Arabidopsis thaliana: one gene and its partners. The protein of the gene in region 4 interacts with the protein of the main gene of each other region in a pairwise test. Each region holds a gene or a part of one and is shown on either strand. Other genes may lie near its edges. The genes, in order: AT3G13175, NHL1, AT1G11940 and AT1G15150.

Region 1 (5,055 bases), on a different chromosome or scaffold from region 4:
CTCAAGATAGAAGCATTGCACTCGTTATCAAGAGCACCCACCCGTTTCCAACAGAAACCTGCAAAATATCACATGAATGAAAAAGTAATCACATCTTCAATCGCAGCTTATAATAACTCTTCAGAAGGAAAATTGAAGGTGAAAGTATTAAAGTACTAACCACATTCAAGTTGTACCGACTACACTGAAAAAGAATGCATATATCACCAATTGCACGGTCCACAATGGATTGTGCTGTGAAGTAGACGAAAACAGTGTTACTAGAAGGCCAAGAACACAACAAAGAGGGATGCATAACTAATATCCGTATAAAAATCTCAATACGTATTCGTTTAGAAGAAAAACATAACTAAAACATTATACGTTGCTTCCAAATTCACCTTTGAAAGCTGATGGATGCATGTAGTAGATATCTCTTTTCGAAGCATGTCTATTTTCTTGCAGAAGTTGTTGGACTATCAACAATACTCTTAGCAACATATCTGAAAGTAAAAACACCGCAATGTGATGCTATATTAAGATAACACTAATGTACTTGTAGAATTATCTGAAACCTGACTCACCGATTCTGTAGGTTTGTGGTTCCTTCTTAAGAGTGAAAATTTCCTGACCCTTTGGTTTATCAGAGCTGCATAAGCTATAGACAGCAGAATAAAATGGTAAATTCATGAGGTCTTAGTTTTCAATACTCGTTGACGTTGTGCTTAAATCCTTCAAAAATGTCTCGAACCAAAGACCAAACACGTCTGATTCTTCAATCAAAGAAAGTGAAAACAAAATTGAATAATCGAGATCGAAGAGAGACAAACCAATCAGCTTCTGGATTCATGCAATAGTTCCTGAATTGATTGATGGAAATTTTTGGAGATCTTCCTTCAGCCAGATCTACAACGACCGATTGAGTAAAATCTGCTCAAAAAACCGAAACATAGTGATGAACAACGGAAGAGCCAGCGAAGTCATCGACTAGAAATTTCGACATAGATTAGAGGACAAATTACTCAATACGATTCGGAAAATTTTGGGATTTTCTGATACCTTTGATCCTTTGAAGCAAATTAGTCGATTCTGAAATAGCGAATTTTCCCTCCATCTCTTTCGAGTTTCAAAACTGAAAAATGCAATGGTCGACGAATTTTTGTAGACGGGAAGAAAAGGGATGGGTGCGAAAAGCTTGCCGTTAAAACCTTCGAATTTAAACATGCGTGTCGTTTAGTTCCTACTTTCCATGACGTTGGGCCATTGGCATTTAGGCCCGATACGTAACTGACGTGTCATTTTAAAAACGCATGTGTTTTTAAACACGTTGGGCCGTTGGCTTTTAGGCCCGATCCGAAACTAGGCAAAGTGATTGTGAAAAAGATTCATGATAACAATCAAACCAATATAAATCGATTTATTCAGACTTGGAGACATTTTAGTGATGCCAATATAAAATAATCATGTGCACTAAATTTGAAATAATTAATGTGTATGGTAAACTAGATTAGAATTAGTTCTAGACTTCTAGTGGTCGAGATTTGTTCATAAGCTTTATGCTCGGACACGTGAGGAACATACCAAAATGTTCGAATCTATTATGCCATACACTTATTTTAATCATTTCTTCTCTATGATAGATTGCTCACCTAATTTATATATAATCTAAGAATATACTACTTAGCTTTAACGTATTTTATCCGATAACGAATTCATGATACCAAAAAAGTTCTAAAACAAAAGAGGCATCTTGTATTATTTATAGTATTTCTAACTAAAACACAACACTGATAACATTTAAATTGCTTTGTTCCGTTTAATTAGTAAACAAATGAAAAGCTGTCGCGTCGGTGGTTGGGTTTCATTCGGAAAGATTTAAAAGTAAAGCGCACGGATTTTAAGGTCGTTCAACATTTAAATTTTTTTTGAAAGTAAAATCATATATCAATGCAATGTGTAATCTTGTAACGTATAAACTAATGAGAGATACCTAAAGAAAAGAAGCCTCGCGCCTAAACAGAAACATAAGATTAAAATAAGTAATATAGAAGCATAAACTTAAGCAAGATTTTATTCCTCGTGAAAATATTACATTTTGTAATTTTATTTTCTCTAGTATTAAAAAAGGAACAACTAATTAACGGAAATACTTAAGGAATTAAGAACAGAGAGGTCTCATACTTAGTCAAGTTTGGTGAAGCTATCAAAGAGAATGTCTTCGTGTTGTCCGCCGACGACATAGTCAAGAATCCCTTCCGCCGCCACTTTTAAGCCTGCGCCTTCGCCTGGGATGATGGTAGACGAAACCGGGAGATCGGAGGTGCGTGCGAAGAAGAAAACGGCAGCGAGAAAGAGAGCCGTGGAGAGAAAAAGTGGCCAGAAGTAAGATAGAACGGTGAGGAAACCGGGAGAATAAGCGACGAGAGCTACGGTGAGGAGAGATAAAACAAAGGCAAACACGATTTGCAACTTGAACTTCAAAAGCTTCTCCCGGAACTCCATCTCCGATCACCGACAAAGATCTGTGAGTCTGTGACTGTTGTGTTAACACGAGAAAGATGGAGTGAAGAGAGATAGAGATATATCTAAAAGAGAGATAGTACAATGCTAACTCTCTCTCTGTCTTTCCTCTGAGTGTCTATACGTAAAGAAATAGGAAAGATTCTCTGTGACAAGGATAACGTCAAAATCTCAAGTTATTTTGTTTTTAAACGCGTTTGAAAATTATACTGTTTTTCTTCTAACGAAAATGATAATATATTTTTAAGATTTTTATGTTACTTTGTTCTGTGACTTGTATGAACATTTTTTTTTTTGTAAAGTTGTCGTAAAAGTCAAAGAATGAAACATTTTCTGACATAAATAGTAAATCGTACAAAGCTAAAATAATGATAAGAGAGATATTTTCAATTCAGTTATAATGTTGTCCGTTTTGCATGATTGAATTTTTAACTTTGGATTCAGGCCGACCAAAATATGGGCCTTTAAAAGCCCGATTTGGGTTGCTAACAGACGACTACTCTTTTGTTAGAACTTACACGAGCCGCCGTTTCTACTTTCTAGCTCTGGCAAAACGGCGAGGCATTTTCTTTAAACATATCAACATACAATTAGCAGCATCTCTACAAGTTTACACTTCTCTCATAAAACCCAACTCTACGAATAAAAGAGAAGGTGTTTTCATTTATCCTCTTCGTCTAATTGCATCCAAACTCTCAGCAGAGACAAATACAGCTTGCTTTTAACGTCACAAGGCTCGAACCAGACGAGCTGCAAATGCTCCATCTAGTGAGTGTTTCACTGGGTTTGATAAAAAGAAGCCTTGTGAGGTTACAAAACTCGACGGTACAAAACTGGTTACTGGATCTATGGTGAATTCCTGTGAAAGCAGAGAGACTATTTGTTAATATCAACATCTGAAGGAAAGCAAATGGATTATAAAGATTCTTACAGGATGTCTTAAGAGAAATGCTTCGACCCTTCCTTCATTTTCCTCGGGGTCTATGGAGCAAGTACTGTATACCAACACCCCACCGTGCTTCACCAGTCTTTGAGATTCAATCAAGAGTGTCACAGATAAAAGTATCAGATAAGTCGCATATTAGTGTTTCAGAATTAATCAAATGACTCATCAAAATGTATGTACAGAGTGCATACTTGGAGGCAGAATCAAGAAGCTCATCCTGCAGTTTAGTGAGCTCTAACATGTCCTCAAGTTTACGGTTCCAGCGCAAATCCGCTCTCTACAAAATACAGATTAATGGGAACAGGTTAATCAGATCAGGTCAATTCAACTAGCAATGTTAAATCTTGCTGGCGAAACAGTTAGATAAACTTTTCTCATGTTAACCTTGGAGAGGACGCCGAGTCCAGAACACGGGGCATCAAGCAAAACTTTGTCATATTGTACTTCATTGGTTTCCTAAAACACATTAAGTTGGAAGGAAGCATGTGAGTAGCTTACAAACTTGGAAACTTCAGATACTCAAATAATGTTAACTTACAGCAAAGACACGAAGATCAGAATGAATGGTTGTGATAAGTCCATCAACTTGGTGTGATTTTGCTGTCTCACCAAGAATTCTTAGCCGTCCTTCATTCACATCCATAGCATATATCATACCTATAATCGATTCGAGTTTGCCAGTTTGAGGATGGAATCAGTCAAGTATAGTAGAAAAGTTTCTCAAAATAGATAATTTAATTCAACATTAATGTACAATAGAGGAAAATAAGGGGTCTTTGTAATATTACCTTGGCCTTTCAAGCAAGATGCCATGAATAGGGTCTTTCCTCCAGGAGCAGCACATGCATCCATTATCCTCTCGCCTGGCTGAGGTTTCACCACTGAGACTATTAGTCCTGCAGTACCAGATGTGGGGAGATATTTAGATATCAAAAGAACAAAAGGATTTTGGATAAACTTAAATCTGTTAACAGCATGAAAAATTAATGAAGAGGAGACTGTATCTTTTCTCAGGAGCAGTCCAAATAATTACAAGACCAAACTGACCTGCACTCTCGTCCTGAACAGAACAGATGCCTTCTTTGAGTAAACCAGCTTGCACAACGGTCTGTTAAAGAAAAGGCCCATGATCAATTATGAAACTTATCAGTAAAAAAACTAGGATAAGAAAATTGCCAACAAGAGGACAATTCACGGTTACATTACAACACCTGCAAGCCTGTTTTGATGCGGACAAATTCCTCCAAATGTAAGGATAGCTCGTGTGGAACCTGCAGCATAGGAAAGCCATAATTGAAGTAAGAAACTAAGCATTATAAGAAACAATCATGTGCCTGGTTTTACACAAACACGATGATTTCAACTGAATAAAGAACGAGAAACATTAAACGAAAAAAACCTTTAAACTGTTTAGACGCTCCACAAGGTCTGCTCTTGTAATGTCCCTTCCCGTATTGGCCCTGATATTATTAGAAATAGTATTATCTGTCTGACAGCTAATAACTTATCTTTCCTTCTGTGAATACAAAATGTTATGGAGATAAACCTTAAGCTAAATCCAGGATCATTGTTATTCCATATCATTAGCTTTGTGGCTTCATCCAACCCAA
Region 2 (5,653 bases), on a different chromosome or scaffold from region 4:
GAATCTCTGATCTCCGTAATAGCCACTAACCGAGAACTCATCGTAGTAGACTCCGACTCGTTGATTAGGGTTACGGATTGTGAAATTGAGATCGAGACTGTAATGGAGGTTGTTGTTTGGATCGAAGCTGAATCGGTTCAGATTAGCGTCGGCGACGTAGAATTTGACGGCGTTTGGACGGAAGATGAGCCAGAGGATAAGAGCGGCGACTCCGAGGATTACGGCTACAGCTATGAGGATGTTGCAGATCAGGCTTAAGATGCAGCAACCGCAGCAACGTAGACAGCTTCCGAGGCAGCTGAAGCAACAGCATCCGAATCCAGGTGAGTTATAGCTGCGGTGAGCCTTAGGCGGTGGTGGAATTGATGGTCCGTAGTACGCGCCGTTTAGGTATGGTTGTTTGGACCCCATGTTGTTCGACGAATTGCCTCAGAGAGAAATTCAAAACAGAGGTTTCAGAATTCGAATTTGTTTAGCCTAAGAATAAAAATGGCTCAGTGAAGAAGAATAAGAAGATTATATAGATAGAGAAAGAGATAAATTCTGCTTTTAATGAAACGCGTTTTATTTTTAATTAAGGAAACGAATTCAAAACGACGCGAATATTTGATTTTGTTGGTCTGATTTGGTTAATGAATGAAGGATTTGGTCAAGGAAAATTAATTGTGACCATTATTTGCTATTTTGTTGTTGTTATTGATAGATAACCAAGATCGGTTATACTTAACCAACGGTTTAATTTTTTGAAAAAGAAGTGCCGTTACGTTTTGAATGTGGTCAGAGCTTTTTCAGCAATCGAGAAGCATTTCAAATGTAAAGGTTTAATAATTAAACGTCTAGCCACTATTGTTACTAAAAAGAAACAATTTATTTAGTGTGCAGCTCCATAAAACTAGGTTTAAGTAGGCGTTATTTTCAAGTTTGTTTCTCAATGCTAAGGAAGAAAGTAGGAATATGTAAAATGTGATGAGTGATATCCCAAATTGTAGAAGGCTTATCCCAAATTCGGCCCAACATAAAATAGTGTAGCCCGTTAGTAGACGAACATAAAGACGCTACTAAAACCCTAGTTTCATGGAACTACACTAAATATAGTCATGAACACATAAACTCAAAATGTCTAAGATAGAGATCATAATTATTAACATTTTTAAAACACTTAATTTGTTTGAATGAAGAATTATATTACAAATAGTTGATCAGTATTATTTTGAGATAGATCCACTGCATATGTAATCAATATTGATTCATTCCAAATATGCATGCACTGATGCACGCACTATTGATCAATGATCAACTATCTAAAGTTTCCGTTGTTGTAAATTATTTTTAAGTTAGGTAGCAAAGGCCATTTTTCAGAAAATTATGTGAGTTTGGCTGAGCATTACTCGGACGTTCTAGTGCCTTTGTGTGAACAGCACACACAGCACGTTCATAACCACTTTATTTTTATTGAAAATCAAAGGAAATCCAAAGTTAGGTTTCTCAACTTTATTTGAGATAGAAGTATGGAACGTTGCTTATATACTACTATATATCATGTGACTGATATCCAAAGTCTTATTGGTGACTGACTTTTTTCGTCTAACGTTTCTTATATTATTTTCATTCCCAACTTAGATAATAAGTTTTAAAGGACCATATTCCCCTTTAATTTCTTTGGTCAATTTCATGGACCACATTATAAGTTAAATGAATGGAAATGCAGATAAACGAGAAATAAGTCTCTAGACCGGATTCTGATTTTCACAATTCAAGATCCAAGAATATTCACGGTAATCCAAGAATATCCACGATAATATCCACGATAATATCCACGGATTCTAAATTCTTGTAAGTAACGTTATGTATTAACTTTATTTCAATGTAGCAAAACTCTAGGAGAATGGGCTTTTAAAGTGCACGAAAAACATTTTTTTAAGCCAGACACCAACAAATAGAACTTATCTATAAATCCATAGATGTGACTAAAAATAATCCAATCCACAAAATTTATCTTTTTGAAATGTCTTATTTGTTGTAGAATAGTCTCTATATAAAATGCATCTCTCTATTTAATTTAATAAAAAGATGGAGACAAATGGACAATGACACCATCACACAACGTCCACAAAACATTAACGAGCCTAATCTATTCAACTAAAAATTAATCTCCATCGCCATCAAACTTTACCATATACATAAGAAAAAGTCATCAAAAGTCGATTTGACAGGATCAGAAGATGCATCAAAATCAGCAAAAAAAATACTTCGAAAAAATCATCACAACTTATAATAGAATTTAGAATTCAACTATAATAAAAAAAAAGTATACATATTGAAATTCTTAAAATTCGTTACAACATCACGAATCTGTAATATTTGCTATTCGTATAAGCAAAATGTACAATTCACATCACTAAGACAGATTACTTAACGAAGACGTTTAGTTACCTTATTTTTCTTCGTCGCCGTTTCACACACTAACACTACAACTAGTGGTAAACGTATACTTAACGGCGTTGTCTCCGACGATAACTCCGTTAGCTTTGTTACCGAAGTTTATATATGCTGGACACTTCACATGAAGATGATACTTCCCGGTGATAAAAGTCCCAACCTTCCACCTCACTCTACCATCAGCACGAATGATCAACAAAACGACACCGTTATCTTTATCGGTGTCAAGACTAACGCCGTTAAAAGGAGCGATGGGAACGGAGGTTCCGTAAACAAACGGCGACCAGATGTCGACATCTTTGTGTCCCTGATACGTGGGAGGGATTGATGTTGGGAAAGTGATTTGTTGGCTCCGGTAAGTAGCGTAGACGTCAAGCCGGTCGTAGTAAATGCCGATTTTGTTGTTAGGGTTCCGGGAAGAGAGAGTGATTTGGAAGTTGGAGGTGAGGAGGTTCGGTGGATTGCCGGAGACGTTGAAGGCGTAGACGGTGGCGTCTTGGAGGATGAAGCGTGGCTTTGATGGTTGGAGAATTGCCCAAATGAGGAGGATTGTTAGGAAGATGATGAAGAGGACGAAGATTATTGACCAAAATATTCGCCTTATTAGTTTCCGGCGAGAGTGGCCGTGGTTTTCACAGTCTTTCATGGTGGTTGTTTTTTTTCTTTCTCCGACGGTGAGTGGTGGTGGTGGGGAGAAGGTGGAGAAGTTGTTAAGAGATTTTTTGTTTTAGTGATGGCTCTAAATAATGGGCTAATTATATGTAGGATTTATAGGAGTGTGATAGGGAAATAAAGGTATTCTCATATTATAAACTATAATAATTCTCCCTAATATTAAAGGTATTCTTTAAAAAAAAAAATTGTAATCAAAACAAAGACCCTTTTAAAGAAACAAGTATTCTACATTTTTATTTTCCATTTAATCACAACAATATATTTTTAAAAATCATGCTAACCTTCTTACATAAAATTTATGTTGTGATATATTTATTGTTAACTGTCATTTTGTATTCTCTATAATTCATTTTGTTTTTTTCCTACATTTATATAAATGTTGAAAATTTATGAATGCGTGATTGATGTGGTCGGTGCAAGTGTTCTTTAGAAAGGTGACTTTATGTGTGGTCGAAGAATTTTTCATCGGCTCCCCTCCAACCATAATAAGCAATTCAACTAGCTAGTTATAATTTCACTTTCAGCTTCACGATATATAAAAAATTCATTATCAGTAGATTCTCTAGTGTGAAATCAAACTACATATATAGTAACTTGCTTGTTTCAAACAGTAATTTGTGTTTGTTAAATTTGATTTTTCCATGATCATGGAACTCGGATTTGTACCATCCCTCAAAATAAAAAGTTCAGAAATTTGGAGCTGTCACATGGGTAAATGAGTTTTCACTACAAATTATTAGTCCATTTGTGATACGAATTTATAGACCAATCTAACTTTTTATTTATTTAATGATCATATATTGCGTATACATGTGTGGATTAATAATTTGATAGAGATTGAAAGAAAGTTCAATTTATCCACGTAATTTCCAATACAGAAAAAGAGGACGTAAGTGACCTAACACTAGTTGCCAAAGCAGAAACCACCACTTTTTCCATCATTTTCCTTGTCGTGTTACGTTGATTAACTACTCTAAATATTCTGTAATTTTGGAGAGAAAGTATTAGACGGGGCACTAATTTCTCTATCGGTATCGGTCGACATATATTTGGTCTAGTCGTGATTAAAGTAGTTTTCGAAATTTTAGACAATAGCGATATTAATAGGGAGGGTTCTTTTCATCTTTGGCGTAAAAAAAGGGGAATAGCTTGAATTCGTGAAACAAAAGAACAAAATCACGAAAACGGCCTTCATAGTTCATATTTTTGCCAATATAGTTATTTTATATATCATCAAATACGCTTCGTATTGATATTTTACAAAAAGACATCTAATAATAATCTACCCTTTCTATTAACAAACAAACGACCTACAACAACTGTAAAAGTAAAAAAGGATAACAATAACGTAGTGGTTTAATAAGTCACAAGCAATAACTGGGTGGCCTATGGGGAAATATCTACCAGCCGAAGATTGGCTTGTGAACGTGAGGTGGTACGAGATTCAGATCCTTGCAATGTTGATTATCATAGTCTTTTGTTCTTGGTGTTGCTCCAGTGCATAGTCTCAAGAAATCGTTCCCTGTTAGAACATAGTGTGAGAATGCCAATCCTCCATCGACCACCTCGTTAAAGCTCGGAACCGATCTTGATTTTCGCATCTTCCTTCCTCCCTCTCCATTGTTTAAGATCTTATCGAGATCTGAATACTCCATGAACCTCTGTGTTGCTGCTTCCCAAGAGAGATTGTACATTTGTTCAGGAGTGAGAGGTAGTGGCTCTTTCGTCATTGCTTCTTGCACTTTGGACACAAAGTCTTCGGATGTTTTGTAAGTTAAGCAGTTCGGGAATGATCTAAAGAATTCGTTTGAAGGGTGATCTGCACACACCACAAACTTCCCCATGGCTAGTGCTTCTGCGGTTGCTGTGCATAGAACATCGCTGATGCTGGGGTTTATGAACACTTTGTACCTTCATCAAGATGTGGGAAAGACAATCAAAGAGCGAAACCTTAACAAGTTTTTAAAAGCAAAGCACATTTTTCAGAACTTACTTGTGAAGAGCATCGTCAGCGTGGTCCCTTCCTTTGAGGAAATTGAGATTCAAGTCATGTTTCTTTGCTGCACGTTGGACCTCGACTGCATCTTCACCGTTCCCATATACATCTAGATTGAAGCTCCCAAGTTCGCTTTTGTGTTTAGCCATCAGATCTATTAGTTCTCTGTATCCTTTAGCCCACACCATTTTTCCTAAGAAGTATGCACCTTTTGAGAAAGCTTGTTCACCACGGGATCTCTCTTCAGCAATTTTCTCCCCAATCATAAGGAACTTGGGATTGACACCATGGACATTGCATACAACAGACTTTGGTAAATCTTGTGTTGCCGCAGAGAGGCGAAGAACCTTTCATGAGTAGAAAATATGTATTAGCTCGTGTACTATTTATTAGTAAAGAGGATTCAAGCAACAGAACAAGGCTTGAAGAAATAGAGTAGATGATTCACCTTGTCACAATACGCTCGTGTGACCCAATTGTTTACATGGTTCACAAAAAATGCTTGAAGAGCTCCATTCTTCTCCCTCTTGATGTACTCTAAGT
Region 3 (7,014 bases), 1.2 Mb from region 4:
GATCTTCTCTCTTCTTTTGTTTTGCATTGTATTTGGTGATGTTGCTTGTAAGTTGTAACCAAGGTACATTATTACTATTTTTCTAATTTCATGGATATAAACACATGAAAGAAGAATAAAGAATCTTGTCTTTGCTACGTTACTAGTGAGAAGTAGTTAAAAGGGTGTCACAACCACTTGTTACTATTCTTTTGGTTTGAGAGCTCTGCTAACTAAGATTTTAATACTTCTTTTGTGTTATGAAACACTGAAAGCAAAATCCACTACATAGTACAGATGCTTCAAAGTTCAAACTTCAAACTGAGCTTCTCATCATTTCAATTTTTCAGACCCAAGGTGATCATTTTTATTGGACTCTGCATTTAACTATATGGTTACCATTAAGTTACCATATATATTATAAAAAAAAATTACCATACATCTCAAAATTAATCACAATCACTCATTTATATACAAAATTCCTTTTAAATAAGTATGAGCATTTTTGTTTTCTAAAAATATTTAGTGTGAGAGGATAATGGGTTTTAAGCCCAAATGAAAATAAAAGCCTAAAGAGAAAACAAGAAGATTGCAGGAGGAGGAGGAGGAGTTGAGTTTCTGATGAGAAGTTTTCGTTAATGGAAGTTTTCCTTTTTTTATGATTGCTAGGCTTAGCTCGAGTCGGTTGGGAATTTTTTTAATGGTTAAGATTTTTGAACTTAAAAGATTCAGAGAGATTTTTATAAAAATGACAATGCCAATACTATGGATTTGGAATAATTGCATTGTTGTAGCCCAATTAAAAAAATGTTTTTTTTAAGCTAATTTTAGTGAACAAATTTTTTCAAAAAATGTGGCCCAATTGAGCTCAACTACCGTCCAACGGCTCGTCGTTTGACTCATTTCTATGGAATCATCAGATTTGCAAAAGAAGCTTAGAATTCCGACGAACTAGGCCCAGTCCGCCCATAAAGCAACCAAAACATGTGCTTTACGCTACCAACTATAAAGAAAAATGTAAGGTCACTTGTTTAAAAAGTTTGTTTTGGTTAAGTGTTTATGTACTTCATTATTGTGTGTTCGAGTCCTTGAAAATTTTAGTTTTTTTTTAACAATTTCCAGGAGAATGAGTAAAAGACATCAATCCAGAGTAGAATTTGCTATTAACATATTCTATTAATCGAAGCCAGTTTCTTCAGACATATACACATAGAAATTTTAACACCCAAACACAAGATTATCCATGAAGAATGATTATTAGTTTTTACTAAGCGTCATATATAATCATAAACCATTAAACCTCATGAGGGATGTTTGTAATGTATCAATGCTATTCCTACTCTATGTATACGCTCTGTTGCTTGACCTACTTGCTTACACTGTTGCAAAGTTATAAGGTTTTGTTTGCTGATGATCCTATTAGTCCTTCACTCACAATGCGCATAGCAGCTTCATTCGTGAACTTCCTTGCAAAGAGAAAGCATGGGACGGGTTTCGAATCCGCCTTACACCATTCCGTTCGAGATTCAGACTCGTAATAGACATGGTCTATTTTCTGTCCCGAGAAAAGCAAAAGAACTAGAGAGATTACTTAGGGATTCATTCGGTTGTGATATTAATCCTCTGAACAAAAAGATTGTACCTTTATTTCTTTTATTTCCTCAGGGCCGGAGTTTTCCAATGTGAAAGTGACGGGATGCCAAGATTTGGCTTCATATTTTGTACCTGAAACGTTCCATACAGTGTATGTCACTGTTCTTCGTTCCATTTCACTCTCTAGTCCTTGCATCTGAAATGGTCAGTTTGTAATACATTAACAATATGGAACTTTTTAGATGGAAACAAAAATGAGAGAGATGTGTATCAGATATGATGGTCACCGTAAGCAATGTTTGCACATAGTGTTCATCGGGGATGCAGTTGCGTCGCTTCTGTTTCTGAGTTCACATCAAACGTAATAAAAGTTTCCCCATTTGTTTAATAAAGAAAGAGGTTAATCAATGGAGAGAAGTATTCATAGACTACAGAAAAGACACTGTTGAGATTGTTTTGAAACCAACACAAAGAATCAACATAAACATTCAGGCTGGTATTAAATGAAAAATACCAACTTTGAAATAGCACTTACAAGAAACAACCATGCCTCATTGGTACCTAAAGGTGGACATCTCTGCAAATCGAAAGAGAAATCAAGAAGTAAGTTATTGTTTCTTCAGCAACAAAGAATCAAGATTGAAATTAAAGTCATGATCATAAAGCTTAATCTTTACCTTGCAGAATTCCTTAAAAACTGGGAATACGATACCATCATTTACAATGACCTCTGCATGACTTCTGATCAAAGCTATCCACTGCAATAGATAAAACTAAGATGAGATTAAAAACTTCATGAACTTTAAAAGGTCCCTATCCTCCTAATGCTTAAATTTTCACAAGAAACTCAGGCTTCAAAAATCTTGGTAGCAATGTTCATTTCCTAAGCAAGAAAATGAAGATACCTGGGATCCTTTTCGCCATTTCTCTTCAGGTATGACAGGAGACATTTTCACACTGTACCGTGTCTCTTTAGTATGAAGAAAACTGCCAATAGAGAGCAACAAACATAGTTATCAACATCTAGACAACTCCTCTTATAATACACCAGTTATCAGGCCATATATATCAAGTATGAAGTACTAAGAAACCTCATAAATTCAGACTTTCAATCTACCTATCCACAAAACTCCTCGGTGAAGAGATAAGATATTTGTATATATAGCCAAAGTCATATAATGGAGCACATCTGCAAAACAGAAAGTAGATGAAAATGAAATAAGTCCGTACAAACCACAAATGTGCTCAAAGTCAGATGCAATAAGTGGTCAGGCATAAGATGATCTGAAAGAGTAATGCTGAAAGAAGCAAACCTGTCAGAGAGAAGAACAAATCTTTGATTGGAGTGATCCTCTAAAGCAGATGCAAGCAACAATCTTTCTGCTTCAATCATGCTTGATTCTCCCCATACTACCTATAACCATAACAACACCACCCTAAGTTTCACTATAAAAAAACATCAAATGGAGAAATTCTCATGAACACTCACCTTAATGCTATTGTTCAATTGGCGATTATAGAAATACTGTGATCGTGTAGTTTCTTCATTGAACACGAAACCAGGTACTGAATGTATATAAATTGAGAAATTCGCATGATCCACTCCCTGCAAAATCACCAGAATCAGCAATTTTTTCGAAATTTAGAATAACGGACAAGTATTAATAGGACTAAGAATCTTTTTTGACCTTGAAGAATCTATCCCACATAAAATCAAGTGGGAGATCACGGCGAGCTAAGAAAAGGAAAGCGAGCTTGGGACGATCACCGGAGTATTTGTGAAGCGGTGTCTGAGATCTCGCGACGGAGAGTGGAAACGACAATGTCGTGAAGGAATTGTACTGTAGTTGGATTCGAAGAAGAGCAAGAAGGCAAAGCGCGACGGAGAAAGCGATTACGAGTTTCCATCCCAGCCACACGACGCCGCCGCGACGGGACAATGGAGGCGGAATCTGCGGCTGTGATTTCTTCGTCATTGTACTACGATCACTCACCGTCGTACGATCAACATTCGAGTTAGAGAAACGAACAATCACAAGTCTTTTTAGGGTTTTTGAAGTCAATAAATTTCTCAGGAGAGAAACGGAAACTGAAGAATTGCAAATTACAACATTTTGGATTTTGAGAGAAAGAGAGAAAGAAAGGTAGAATGATGTTGATAGTTCGACGTATAAACTTGTAAACGACGTCGTAAGCCACGTACACGTTTTAAGTTAGTTGGGACCCACGTTAAATTAGAACATCATTAAATTGTTGTCCGAAATTGAAATTGTCAGAAAATGGTATGAAAATTATACAATTTGACTAGGAATATTAATTATTGTATTTCCTTCTATACAATTAGAAAAAAAAAAAAAATACCTTAAAACAAAACCTTTGGAAATTAATGTATTAAGTCATTTTAAAACCTTTGAAAACAAAACAATCCATATTTACTGCAGTAAAAATTTGCAAGCAACAACTGAACCAATTGTATTTGCTACTATGAATCTATGATGCTCTCATATCATAAACTTTCATTTGCTCTCAAAATGATGTAAAGATACAAAACTATACAAAAGAAGCTTACATCAAATATTCATTCATATGCCAAAACAGACCGGAAAAGGAAAAGTTACATCAAAATCCCATTTGAAAAAAAGGAAATCATTCTTTTCAAGAGACACTTGTCTCTTTTACATACATATATCACAGCAAAAGCCAACTACAATAGCCATGGCTTTAACAATTCTACAAAATCTGCTGTTAATCCTACAACAACAAAGCTATAGAGCTTTTAGCTGCGATCTAGCAATAATGTCTCCACTTCTTTCAGAGCTTGTTCAACTGCATAGATCACCATCTTTTTTATCTGTTCACATGGCAAAGATTAAAACAAGATTCAACTACAAACAAAACTGTATCCATTGACAGAAGTTGCTAATCCAAAATTGAAAATATCAGAAAAAGAATCACCTCAAGTTTGTCTTCTCTGGCTTTATGGTTCTTAGGGAGTTGTCGAAACTCATCAGTCAAACGGAGACACTCATCGATGTTTTCAGGGGAAACAAAATCAACAGCTACCTTTGTGCACGACTGTATCAAAATCCATAATACAAGTTAAAGATAATGAGAAAAAGTTTAGTTAATAGGACAGCTTCCATTCAAATAATAACCTTGAGATTCCGAACTTGATGAGGACAACCTGCTGGAATAAACACTGCTTCTCCTAGCTTTTGCACAAATGTCCATGGCTCAATCCCTTTAGTTCAAACAAACAAACACAAAAACGTAAGAATACAATGTCGGTAAGTGACAGTTACTACAGTTACAAGTAACCATACCAAATTCTGCCTTGAGTTTTCTTTTATGCTCCACGGTTAAGAAATATGACTGATCATGTATTGGATGATACACCTAACATAAAGAATCCTATCAGCACAATAACCTCTAAGACTCGGAACTGAAAACGTTTTGTGGATTATTTCTTACCTTTGTAACACGAGAGCAATAAGTATGTCTGAATTCTATGCAATGCTTCCTTAGATACTCTTCAAGCTTAGGAACATCTTCTCTTTTAAAGATGTCCCAAAGTGCACCACTTGTTTCATCATAAACCACAATCTCATCACTCACAACCTCTTCTTCCTCTAAACCATTTTGCTCCTGAAGCTCTTTCTCATTCTGTTGCTTATGTTTCTGTTTCAAATCTGCAATTGCAGACCTTTGCTCCTCACTTAGTGTTACTTCAGCAGTATGCATCAGAATATTAACCTACAAAAACAAAAAACCGTTATACACCTGAGAAACCGTATTATTATTTAACAGTACTAAGTAACAATTCTGAAACTTACAGCATCTGACATATCACAGTGAAGCTTAGTGACTGAATCTCCTCTACCGAGCTCATCTGAAGTCCCATATGCAACATAAGTTTTTGGACCAAGATCTGGTTTAAGAAGTCCTTCAGGAAGTTTTGTAGCAATGTTGAGAATTCCTGATCTAGGATCGCTGTATTCTTGAAATGGTAATGCGGAAATGAACTCATCGCAGTGACGAGGTAAAAGGTTTTCAAACTTGTCTGAAGGAGGCCAATCCTTCAGCTTCAGCATCTCAGGCCAGAAGTTTTCATATGTTCTTCCTTTGCTATATCCTTCAAAGAAACATAGAGTATTTATCTTCACCTGAAATAACAAGAAACAAAATGAGCTTTATAACCTCTTATACAGCTATAGAAACTTTATAAGAAAATGAGTTTCTACCTCACAATTAGCTAAACAATCGATAGCTTTGACATCAGACATATTAGAGCTAATTGCTGAATCAACATTCTCACATAAAGCCCGCCACATCACCATTGGCTCCCAGCTTAAACCAGCTGTGTTGTTAAGAGCATTTCGAACAATCACTGGTTCACCTTTGGACCAATGCTCTTGGAAATGCAGAAGTTCTTCTTGCTTCAGGACATCCAAAGAATCAGGAGAATAAAGGTAATTGTCACTAGATCCGTCCCTCGAAGCTGCCTTCCTCTTCATACTACTCATATCAGAAGAACATCTACAATATGACATTGGCGGTTTGATACTATAAGAGGCTAAGAATGTTTCTGCCTTTTGCTCCAAATCTGACATCCAAGTCACTGGTAAGATTCGCTTAAGCTCCAGCACAGAGTCCCCGCAACCTCCTAGCTCTTTTGGCGCACACCGTATGCTTCCATTTTCATCAGCATTCCACTTGATGGATGGAGTTTTAGTTTCATCCTCGGAAACAGAAGAAGAGCTCGGTTCTGCAGCTTCGCCATGTATATACCGGGTCCCTCTGTACTCGAATTGTAGCTGACATTCCGGGCGGTCAGAAAGCCAACCTCCACGGATCTCTTGGCAACAGTTCAGACACAATTCATATGAACACTTTGGACAGCTTCGATGCAAGTCAACAATTGATGTTGCACAGTGGTTACTAGAGCAACAAAGACATTTCAGTGATATATAAGATAGATGTCATGTAACTCTTCAAACACATGCAACAAAAGGATGATACTTACCAGAAGACACGCTCTTCATTTGAGCATAGACTCTCGGATATATCAACTTGAGAAGCCATTGAATCTATAAACATATCAATATGTTATCTTGTAGCAAGAAAAAATCTTGTCTTAGTAGTAAAAGGGAGAACCATATATACCTTGAACCTTAGCCTCGGTTTCGATTTCTTGATCTTGTGCTTTGCATAACTTTTTCAGGAAAGGAAGCATCGCCACAATCAAGAAGCGAAGATGATAAAATCTTTCGTATTTATCGAGCTTTCTCTTAGATGTCTGCAAGACAAATAGATACATCTCTATTCACACCAAAACAAAAATCGAACTTGCGGTTCTTGATCTATATAAACAACCACCACATATTTTGTTAAGAATGCAACTCATACCTCGATTAAACCACTAGAGTGCAAACATGTGCAGCA
Region 4 (7,198 bases):
AAACAAAAACAGTGCATACCTCAGCCATTTGTTTCTGTCCGCACAGCACCGCTCCCGTGGCCTTGGGAGCTGATAGCTGTTTAGCCCTTGCAAAAGCAGCCTATACAACACATTATGTATATATTAGTTTGATCCACATTGAGTTACAGCAGACTTGACTAAGGAGCACGTTTCTCAATCTCACCTGCACATATCCAGTTTCCCCTTTCCACCCATCATCTGGCTGTGATAATACCGGCACAACTTTGACACCCGCTGATTCCCACTCTTTAAACTTTTCCTACAAAATCAAGAGCGTTTCCAAGATGATTCTTCTGTAGATCAAAATGAGAGCGAGAGATAGGCTTTACGCTTATCATCAAAAGATTTTTATAATTCAAGCACACACATTTATATCTACTGACATCATGAATTGCAAAACAACTGAGAGAAAGAACCAAACCTGGTAAGCCATCCTATTCAGGTTCCTAGCCCCGTAATAGAGTCTTACGTCAGATCTTCTATCAGCGCCAAATCCTGATTCGATTAGTGAGCGGATGGGGCTGCAGAGATAAGAACATGTGAGATTACATTCCAAATTGAAGACAGTTACTTAATTCACATCACCATCACTAAACATTTTTGATTGACCAGGCCTAGAACAATAGATGATTGAAAGAAACACCTTTACTTGGCATAAACAACAGATCTGATCGATCACCAAAGTCATAAAAACATTGACCTTTCATACATGAAACTCTATTTCAGTATTACAACATCATCACAGTAAAAAAATAGCCACAAAATTGGTCCATGGCACCTTTGGATAGATTGAAATCATACTGGAGTTCACAAAAAAGGTCCACAAAAAAGCAATTGAACCCGGCATCACAGAGGATTCACCGCAAAATGAGTAACTAAACTAGATTCAAGATACTTGAGTTTGAAAGCTTTGTATCTAGCTAATGCTCTGCACTGAAACCTTTAAACTAGACCACACTTGGATCATTGAATACATGAAGTAAAAAAGACAACTTCAGCAATCCAACAAGGTAGGAGAGAAAATGGAAAAAGCTCTCACCTAATTCCAGATCCAGTGGCGAAAATCAAAACGGTGGGATATTCCTCAGGAGGATCAATCAGATCGATATTGAAACCATTACCCATCACAGAGCTAAGCTCAACGGTCTCTCCTTTCTTCAACCCGCAGAGAATCTCCGCGGTAGAACCAGCGATGCTCTTGACCAAGAATTCGAAAGCACCACGAGAAGACGCCAAGGAAGGAGGAGAAGCGATTGCCATAAAAGAAGGCTTCTCAACATCAGGAACACGGATCTGGAGATACTGACCGGGTCTCGTGTACGAAGCTACGAGATCCGGAGCGTTTGAAATGTCGATTGAGATGTGGAAAAGCGATTCTGCAGCTGATTCGATTAGAGAGAGAGGAGCTGGAGTCCAGAGGGAAGCGTCCTGGCGAACGGCGGCGGCGGATACAACGGAAGCGACGCGGTTATTTCGGGATAAACGGAGATGGCGTGTAAGAGGGAGATGGCGCAGGATAAACATGGGGGAGAGGGAGTGGCTAAAGTGCGCATGGGTGACAGAAGGCGCGAAAGGAAGAGTGGACATGGTGGAGAGTTTTTGGGGCTCTATATGTGACCGTCAAATTTAGCCGGCGGTAGAAAAGGGCGGCCCGATTGGTTCGGTGGCACGATTGTGTTATTTTTTTTTGCTATGCACCTAATTTCCTTCCGTTACAATGTTTTGCCACGTGGATGATCAAAATATCATTCTATCTACTTTCCGACCACTTGTTGTGATACTTCGAAAATTGCATTCCCTCTTCATTTAATTTTGCTAGCTCGTCTTTCAAAGAAAAAACACCAAATCATGTAATTAAAAGACAGAATTGTGGAAGAAAAGTGACAAGCAATATGCATATTAAAAAACGTAAGAGTACATTATCAATGAACACTCCCTACCGTTGAGCCAAATTTAACGTATATATTTCATTCATGGTTTTGGAATTTTGCCAAGTGGCACTACACTATAGATTCCCTTGGTAAGGAATTACACATAACCAAGCACCAAAAAGCAGACAGTAGTACTTCACGATTATCACTCACCACTTTCCGTTTCAACTTTCAAACTCTCTCTCACAAGCCATGCAAGACGCGGAGAGAACCACCAATGATCCGGTAGACAGAATTGAGAAAGTGACATGGAGAGATCTGCAAGACGGATCTTTCACCGCAGAACTCAAGAGGCTTATCTGCTTTGCGGCTCCTATGGCTGCCGTGGTTATCATTCAGTTCATGATACAGATAATCTCAATGGTGATGGTGGGTCACCTCGGTAGACTCTCCCTCGCTAGCGCTTCCTTCGCAGTCTCCTTCTGTAACGTCACTGGCTTCAGCTTCATTGTTTGTTTTCCTTTTCCTTCTTTCCTCTAAATTGACGCACTTATCTCTGTTACTAGCTACCAGAACCATGGAAATTGCATCCTCTCCTCACTTTCTTGTTACTTTTTGATGATAGATAGGATTGTCATGTGCCTTAGATACTTTGAGTGGTCAAGCTTATGGAGCTAAGCTATATCGGAAACTAGGTGTTCAGGCTTACACAGCTATGTTCTGTCTTACTTTAGTGTGTCTCCCTCTCTCTCTCCTATGGTTCAACATGGGAAAGCTTATTGTGATCCTTGGCCAAGACCCTGCTATTGCTCACGAAGCTGGTAGATATGCCGCTTGGCTCATCCCAGGACTGTTCGCTTACGCCGTTCTTCAGCCGCTCATTCGCTACTTCAAAAACCAGAGCTTGATCACACCTCTCCTCGTCACCTCTTCTGTTGTGTTTTGTATCCACGTTCCTCTCTGCTGGCTTTTGGTTTATAAGTCAGGGCTTGGTCATATTGGAGGAGCCTTGGCTCTCAGCTTGTCATACTGGCTCTATGCCATTTTCCTTGGATCTTTCATGTACTACTCCTCTGCCTGTTCTGAGACACGCGCGCCGCTTACCATGGAGATATTCGAGGGCGTTAGAGAGTTTATCAAATATGCTCTTCCTTCTGCGGCTATGCTTTGGTACATCACTTTTCTCTGTTCCTTTTTCACTTCTCATTGCCTCCACATTTTTTGTTAGAAACTCTTTTATATATGGGTTGCAGCCTGGAGTGGTGGTCATATGAACTCATAATATTACTTTCTGGTCTGTTACCCAACCCACAGCTGGAGACTTCTGTGCTCTCTATCTGGTACTCATCCTTGCATCTTTCCATTTCCTGTCACAATCTTGAATTTGCAAAATCATAATGTTATTCATACTACGGACAGTTTCGAAACACTTTCAATAACTTATTCAATACCACTAGCGATCGCGGCTGCAGCAAGGTTAGAGCTTTTGTCACCACTATCCAGTACATAAATGCTGAAGTATACTTTCTGTTATGGTTTCATGTTCATAAGCAAGTACATTGTGCAGCACAAGAATCTCAAATGAGTTAGGAGCTGGAAACTCTCGAGCAGCACATATTGTGGTCTATGCGGCAATGTCTCTTGCAGTAATGGATGCATTGATGGTGAGTATGTCTCTATTAGCCGGCAGGCATGTTTTCGGCCATGTTTTCAGCAGTGACAAGAAAACCATCGAATATGTTGCAAAGATGGCTCCGTTGGTCTCTATTTCTATCATACTGGACAGTTTACAAGGGGTTCTCTCAGGTTCGAGATTTTTTCCCATTTCGTTTCTCAAACATAAGCTAGTGTCGAATATACAGCTCCAAGTTGTCATGCCTGTTCATGTTGTACTCTTTTCTGCCATTCTTCTAACCCTCGTTTGATGGTTGGAAGGTGTTGCAAGCGGATGCGGGTGGCAGCATATAGGGGCTTACATAAACTTCGGAGCTTTCTATCTCTGGGGGATACCCATTGCAGCATCTTTAGCCTTCTGGGTTCATCTGAAAGGTGTTGGCCTTTGGATTGGAATACTAGCCGGTGCAGTTCTGCAGACTCTTCTGCTGGCTCTTGTCACAGGCTGCACAAACTGGAAAACCCAGGTCCTTTCCTTTGCTTTTTGTCTTTCATGACATGTTTCTATTTTGGAATAAACATATCGATGTTCAATTGGATGCATTTTGAACTCTAGGCCCGTGAAGCGAGGGAGCGAATGGCTGTGGCCCATGAATCAGAACTTACAGAGTCAGAACTTCCCATCTAAGATTACAGGGACACAGATGTTCCTCCTATTTTACCATTTTTGTAGCAGCCAAATCGTTATATGTTACTGCTGGACTAGTGGTTGCCGTGAATAATTGGTCTTTTCTTTTGTAATATTAGCAGCCCTCAGCAATCGTTATTTCGATGAAGCATTATTCTGGTAGTTCAGAAATACCTTGGACAGAAAATGATGTAGTGATCCAATTCTGCTGATACCAGCTCGCTTATACCTGTAACACAGTAGTTGCGAGTCAGGAAATAGATGTGGGAGCTGCTTCTGAGTCTTGGAGCTAGAGTTTTCAATCACTGAAAATGTTTCTCGACACAGACCTTCACAAGTGTCTCCACAAGTAATAATGACAGGATCACACATATATTACTATCACTAGAAAAATATAACCACCAACAACGTTGCTTTATGTATTCAAACTTTCTTACGATGATGACAATATAGTTTGCAAAATGCATATTAAAAAAAGAAAACGCAGAGAGCCAAGAGTCAGCATCAGTAATCACGCCACAAAAATAAAACGCAGAGAGCATATTAAAATGTTGAATTAATAGGTGGAATAAAGTGACGATTATGTGTTACAAAAATGAAAAATATGGTTTTGTATAAAAACACCAATGTGGCAATGTACATAGTCTTAAAGAACAACACGTACTAAAGCACAAAAAGCAGACAGTAGTTCTTCACTCACACCACTTTCAGTTTCAAATTTCAACTCTCTCTCTTTAGTGTCTCTCTAGCCATGGAAGACGCAGAGAGCACCACCAAAGATCCTGTAGACAGAGTTGAGAAAGTAACATGGAGAGATCTGCAAGACGGATCTTTCACCGCAGAACTCAAGAAGCTTATATGCTTTGCGGCTCCTATGGCTGCCGTGGTTATCACTCAGTCCATGTTACAGATCATAACAATGGTGATTGTGGGTCACCTCGGCAGACTCTCTCTCGCTAGCGCTTCCTTCGCCATCTCCTTCTGTAACGTCACTGGCTTCAGCTTCATTGTTTGTTTCCTTTTCCTTTTTTCCACTAAAATTGACGCACTTATCTCTCTTACTAGCTACCAGAACCATGGAAATTGTATCCTCTCATCACTTTACTGTTACTTTTTGATGCTAGATGGGATTGTCATGTGCCTTAGATACTCTCAGCGGTCAAGCCTATGGAGCTAAGCTATATCGGAAACTAGGTGTTCAGGCTTACACAGCTATGTTCTGTCTTACATTAGTGTGTCTCCCTCTCTCTCTCCTATGGTTCAACATGGGAAAGCTTCTCGTGATCCTTGGCCAAGACCCTTCAATTGCACACGAAGCCGGAAGATTTGCTGCTTGGCTCATCCCAGGACTGTTTGCTTACGCTGTTCTACAGCCGCTTACTCGCTACTTCAAAAACCAGAGCTTGATAACACCTCTCCTTATCACCTCTTGTGTTGTGTTCTGTCTCCATGTTCCTCTTTGTTGGCTTTTGGTTTATAAGTCAGGGCTTGATCATATTGGAGGAGCCTTGGCTCTCAGTTTGTCATACTGGCTCTATGCCATCTTTCTTGGATCTTTCATGTACTTCTCCTCTGCTTGTTCTGAGACACGTGCACCGCTTACCATGGAGATATTCGAGGGCGTTAGAGAGTTTATCAAATATGCTCTTCCTTCTGCGGCTATGCTTTGGTACATCACTTTTCTCTGTTCCTTTTTCACTTCTCATTGCCTCTACATTTTTTGTTAGAAACTCTTTTATGTGTTGCAGCCTAGAGTGGTGGTCTTATGAACTCATAATATTACTATCTGGTCTCTTACCCAACCCACAACTGGAGACTTCTGTGCTCTCTGTCTGGTACTCCTCCTTGCATCTTACTAACTCTCGTCACAATCATGAATTTGCCAAAACATAATGTTATTTATACTATGAATAGTCTCCAAACACTTTCGATGACTTATTCGATACCACTAGCGATTGCAGCTGCAGCAAGGTTAGAGCCACCATTATGCTGTTCATAAATGGTCAAGCATACTTGCTGTTCATGGCAAGGAATCATATGGTTTCATGTTCATAAGGGGATGTTTCTTGTGCAGCACAAGAATCTCAAATGAATTAGGTGCTGGAAACTCTCGAGCAGCACATATTGTGGTCTACGCGGCAATGTCTCTTGCAGTAGTGGATGCATTGATGGTGGGTACGTCTCTATTAGCTGGTAAGAATCTGTTGGGCCAAGTTTTCAGCAGTGACAAGAATACCATCGACTATGTTGCAAAGATGGCTCCACTGGTCTCTATTTCTCTCATACTGGACAGTTTACAAGGGGTTCTCTCAGGTTCGAGAACTGTTCCTATTTCTTTTCTCAAACATATACTAGTGTCGAATATTATGTTATGCACTTTTTAGTCAAAGATAACTAAAGGTGAACTCTTTTCTGCCATTCCTAACCCTCATTTGTTGGTTTGCAGGTGTTGCAAGCGGATGCGGGTGGCAGCATATAGGGGCTTACATAAACTTTGGAGCTTTCTATCTCTGGGGGATACCCATTGCTGCATCTTTAGCCTTCTGGGTTCATCTGAAAGGTGTTGGCCTTTGGATTGGAATAATAGCCGGTGCCGTTCTGCAAACTCTTCTGCTGGCTCTTGTCACAGGCTGCATAAACTGGGAAAACCAGGTCTTTTTCCCTTTTCTTTTGTTCTTTCTTCTTCATGACATGTTTCTATTGTGAAATAAACATATTGATGTTCAGTTGGATGCATATTTGAACTCTAGGCTCGTGAAGCGAGGAAGCGAATGGCTGTGGCCCATGAATCAGAACTTACAGAGTCAGAACTTCCCTTTTAAGATAACGGGGGCACATATGTTGTTCCTCAGGTTACACCATTTTGGTAGCAGCCAAATCGTTGTATGTTACTGCTAGACTAGCGTTTGCCGTGAATAATCGGTCTTTTTTGTAATAATACCATATGATACATCCCTCAGCAATCGTTGTTTCGATGAAGTTTCATCCTACTTATTCAGAAATA

The links.
Region 1: the proteins of AT1G15150 (region 4) and AT3G13175 interact in a protein complementation assay, tested with the Arabidopsis thaliana proteins (one large-scale study listed by BioGRID).
Region 2: the proteins of AT1G15150 (region 4) and NHL1 interact in a protein complementation assay, tested with the Arabidopsis thaliana proteins (one large-scale study listed by BioGRID).
Region 3: the proteins of AT1G15150 (region 4) and AT1G11940 interact in a protein complementation assay, tested with the Arabidopsis thaliana proteins (one large-scale study listed by BioGRID).

Annotation. Positions count from the first base shown.
Region 1 is NC_003074.8:4,233,100-4,238,154, forward strand, and holds AT3G13175 (uncharacterized protein), read right to left. Parts: upstream 2,716-5,055; 5' UTR 2,482-2,715; coding exon 2,161-2,481; 3' UTR 1,976-2,160; downstream 1-1,975. Other genes in the region: ATSPO11-1 (Spo11/DNA topoisomerase VI, subunit A protein), read right to left, coding at 42-58, 161-234, 381-482, 564-637, 810-909, 1,039-1,093; AT3G13180 (NOL1/NOP2/sun family protein / antitermination NusB domain-containing protein), read right to left, coding at 3,227-3,358, 3,431-3,527, 3,637-3,722, 3,830-3,901, 3,984-4,102, 4,234-4,341, 4,493-4,553, 4,657-4,716 and 2 more.
Region 2 is NC_003074.8:3,676,576-3,682,228, forward strand, and holds NHL1 (NDR1/HIN1-like 1), read right to left. Parts: upstream 3,369-5,653; 5' UTR 3,086-3,368; coding exon 2,456-3,085; 3' UTR 2,020-2,455; downstream 1-2,019. Other genes in the region: NHL2 (NDR1/HIN1-like 2), read right to left, coding at 1-411; DGD1 (UDP-Glycosyltransferase superfamily protein), read right to left, coding at 4,515-5,025, 5,108-5,457, 5,559-5,653. UniProt on the Arabidopsis thaliana protein: May play a role in plant immunity.
Region 3 is NC_003070.9:4,030,399-4,037,412, forward strand, and holds AT1G11940 (Core-2/I-branching beta-1,6-N-acetylglucosaminyltransferase family protein), read right to left. Parts: upstream 3,758-7,014; 5' UTR 3,549-3,757; coding exon 3,261-3,548; intron 3,179-3,260; coding exon 3,062-3,178; intron 2,987-3,061; coding exon 2,886-2,986; intron 2,762-2,885; coding exon 2,690-2,761; intron 2,560-2,689; coding exon 2,478-2,559; intron 2,331-2,477; coding exon 2,250-2,330; intron 2,150-2,249; coding exon 2,108-2,149; coding exon of another isoform or gene 2,072-2,107; exon of another isoform or gene 1,917-2,071; coding exon 1,860-1,916; intron 1,769-1,859; coding exon 1,622-1,768; intron 1,535-1,621; coding exon 1,370-1,534; 3' UTR 1,136-1,369; downstream 1-1,135. Other genes in the region: AT1G11950 (Transcription factor jumonji (jmjC) domain-containing protein), read right to left, coding at 4,349-4,423, 4,528-4,647, 4,728-4,813, 4,896-4,968, 5,044-5,325, 5,406-5,735, 5,814-6,510, 6,596-6,659 and 2 more.
Region 4 is NC_003070.9:5,210,530-5,217,727, forward strand, and holds AT1G15150 (MATE efflux family protein), read left to right. Parts: upstream 1-1,945; 5' UTR 1,946-2,144; coding exon 2,145-2,402; exon of another isoform or gene 2,403-2,517; coding exon 2,518-3,062; intron 3,063-3,145; coding exon 3,146-3,232; intron 3,233-3,311; coding exon 3,312-3,368; intron 3,369-3,459; coding exon 3,460-3,698; intron 3,699-3,827; coding exon 3,828-4,033; intron 4,034-4,122; coding exon 4,123-4,194; 3' UTR 4,195-4,513; downstream 4,514-7,198. Other genes in the region: AT1G15140 (FAD/NAD(P)-binding oxidoreductase), read right to left, coding at 20-100, 185-280, 443-542, 1,061-1,608; AT1G15160 (MATE efflux family protein), read left to right, coding at 4,946-5,203, 5,319-5,863, 5,943-6,029, 6,109-6,165, 6,269-6,507, 6,641-6,846, 6,945-7,016; AT1G15165 (RING/FYVE/PHD zinc finger superfamily protein), read right to left, coding at 7,190-7,198.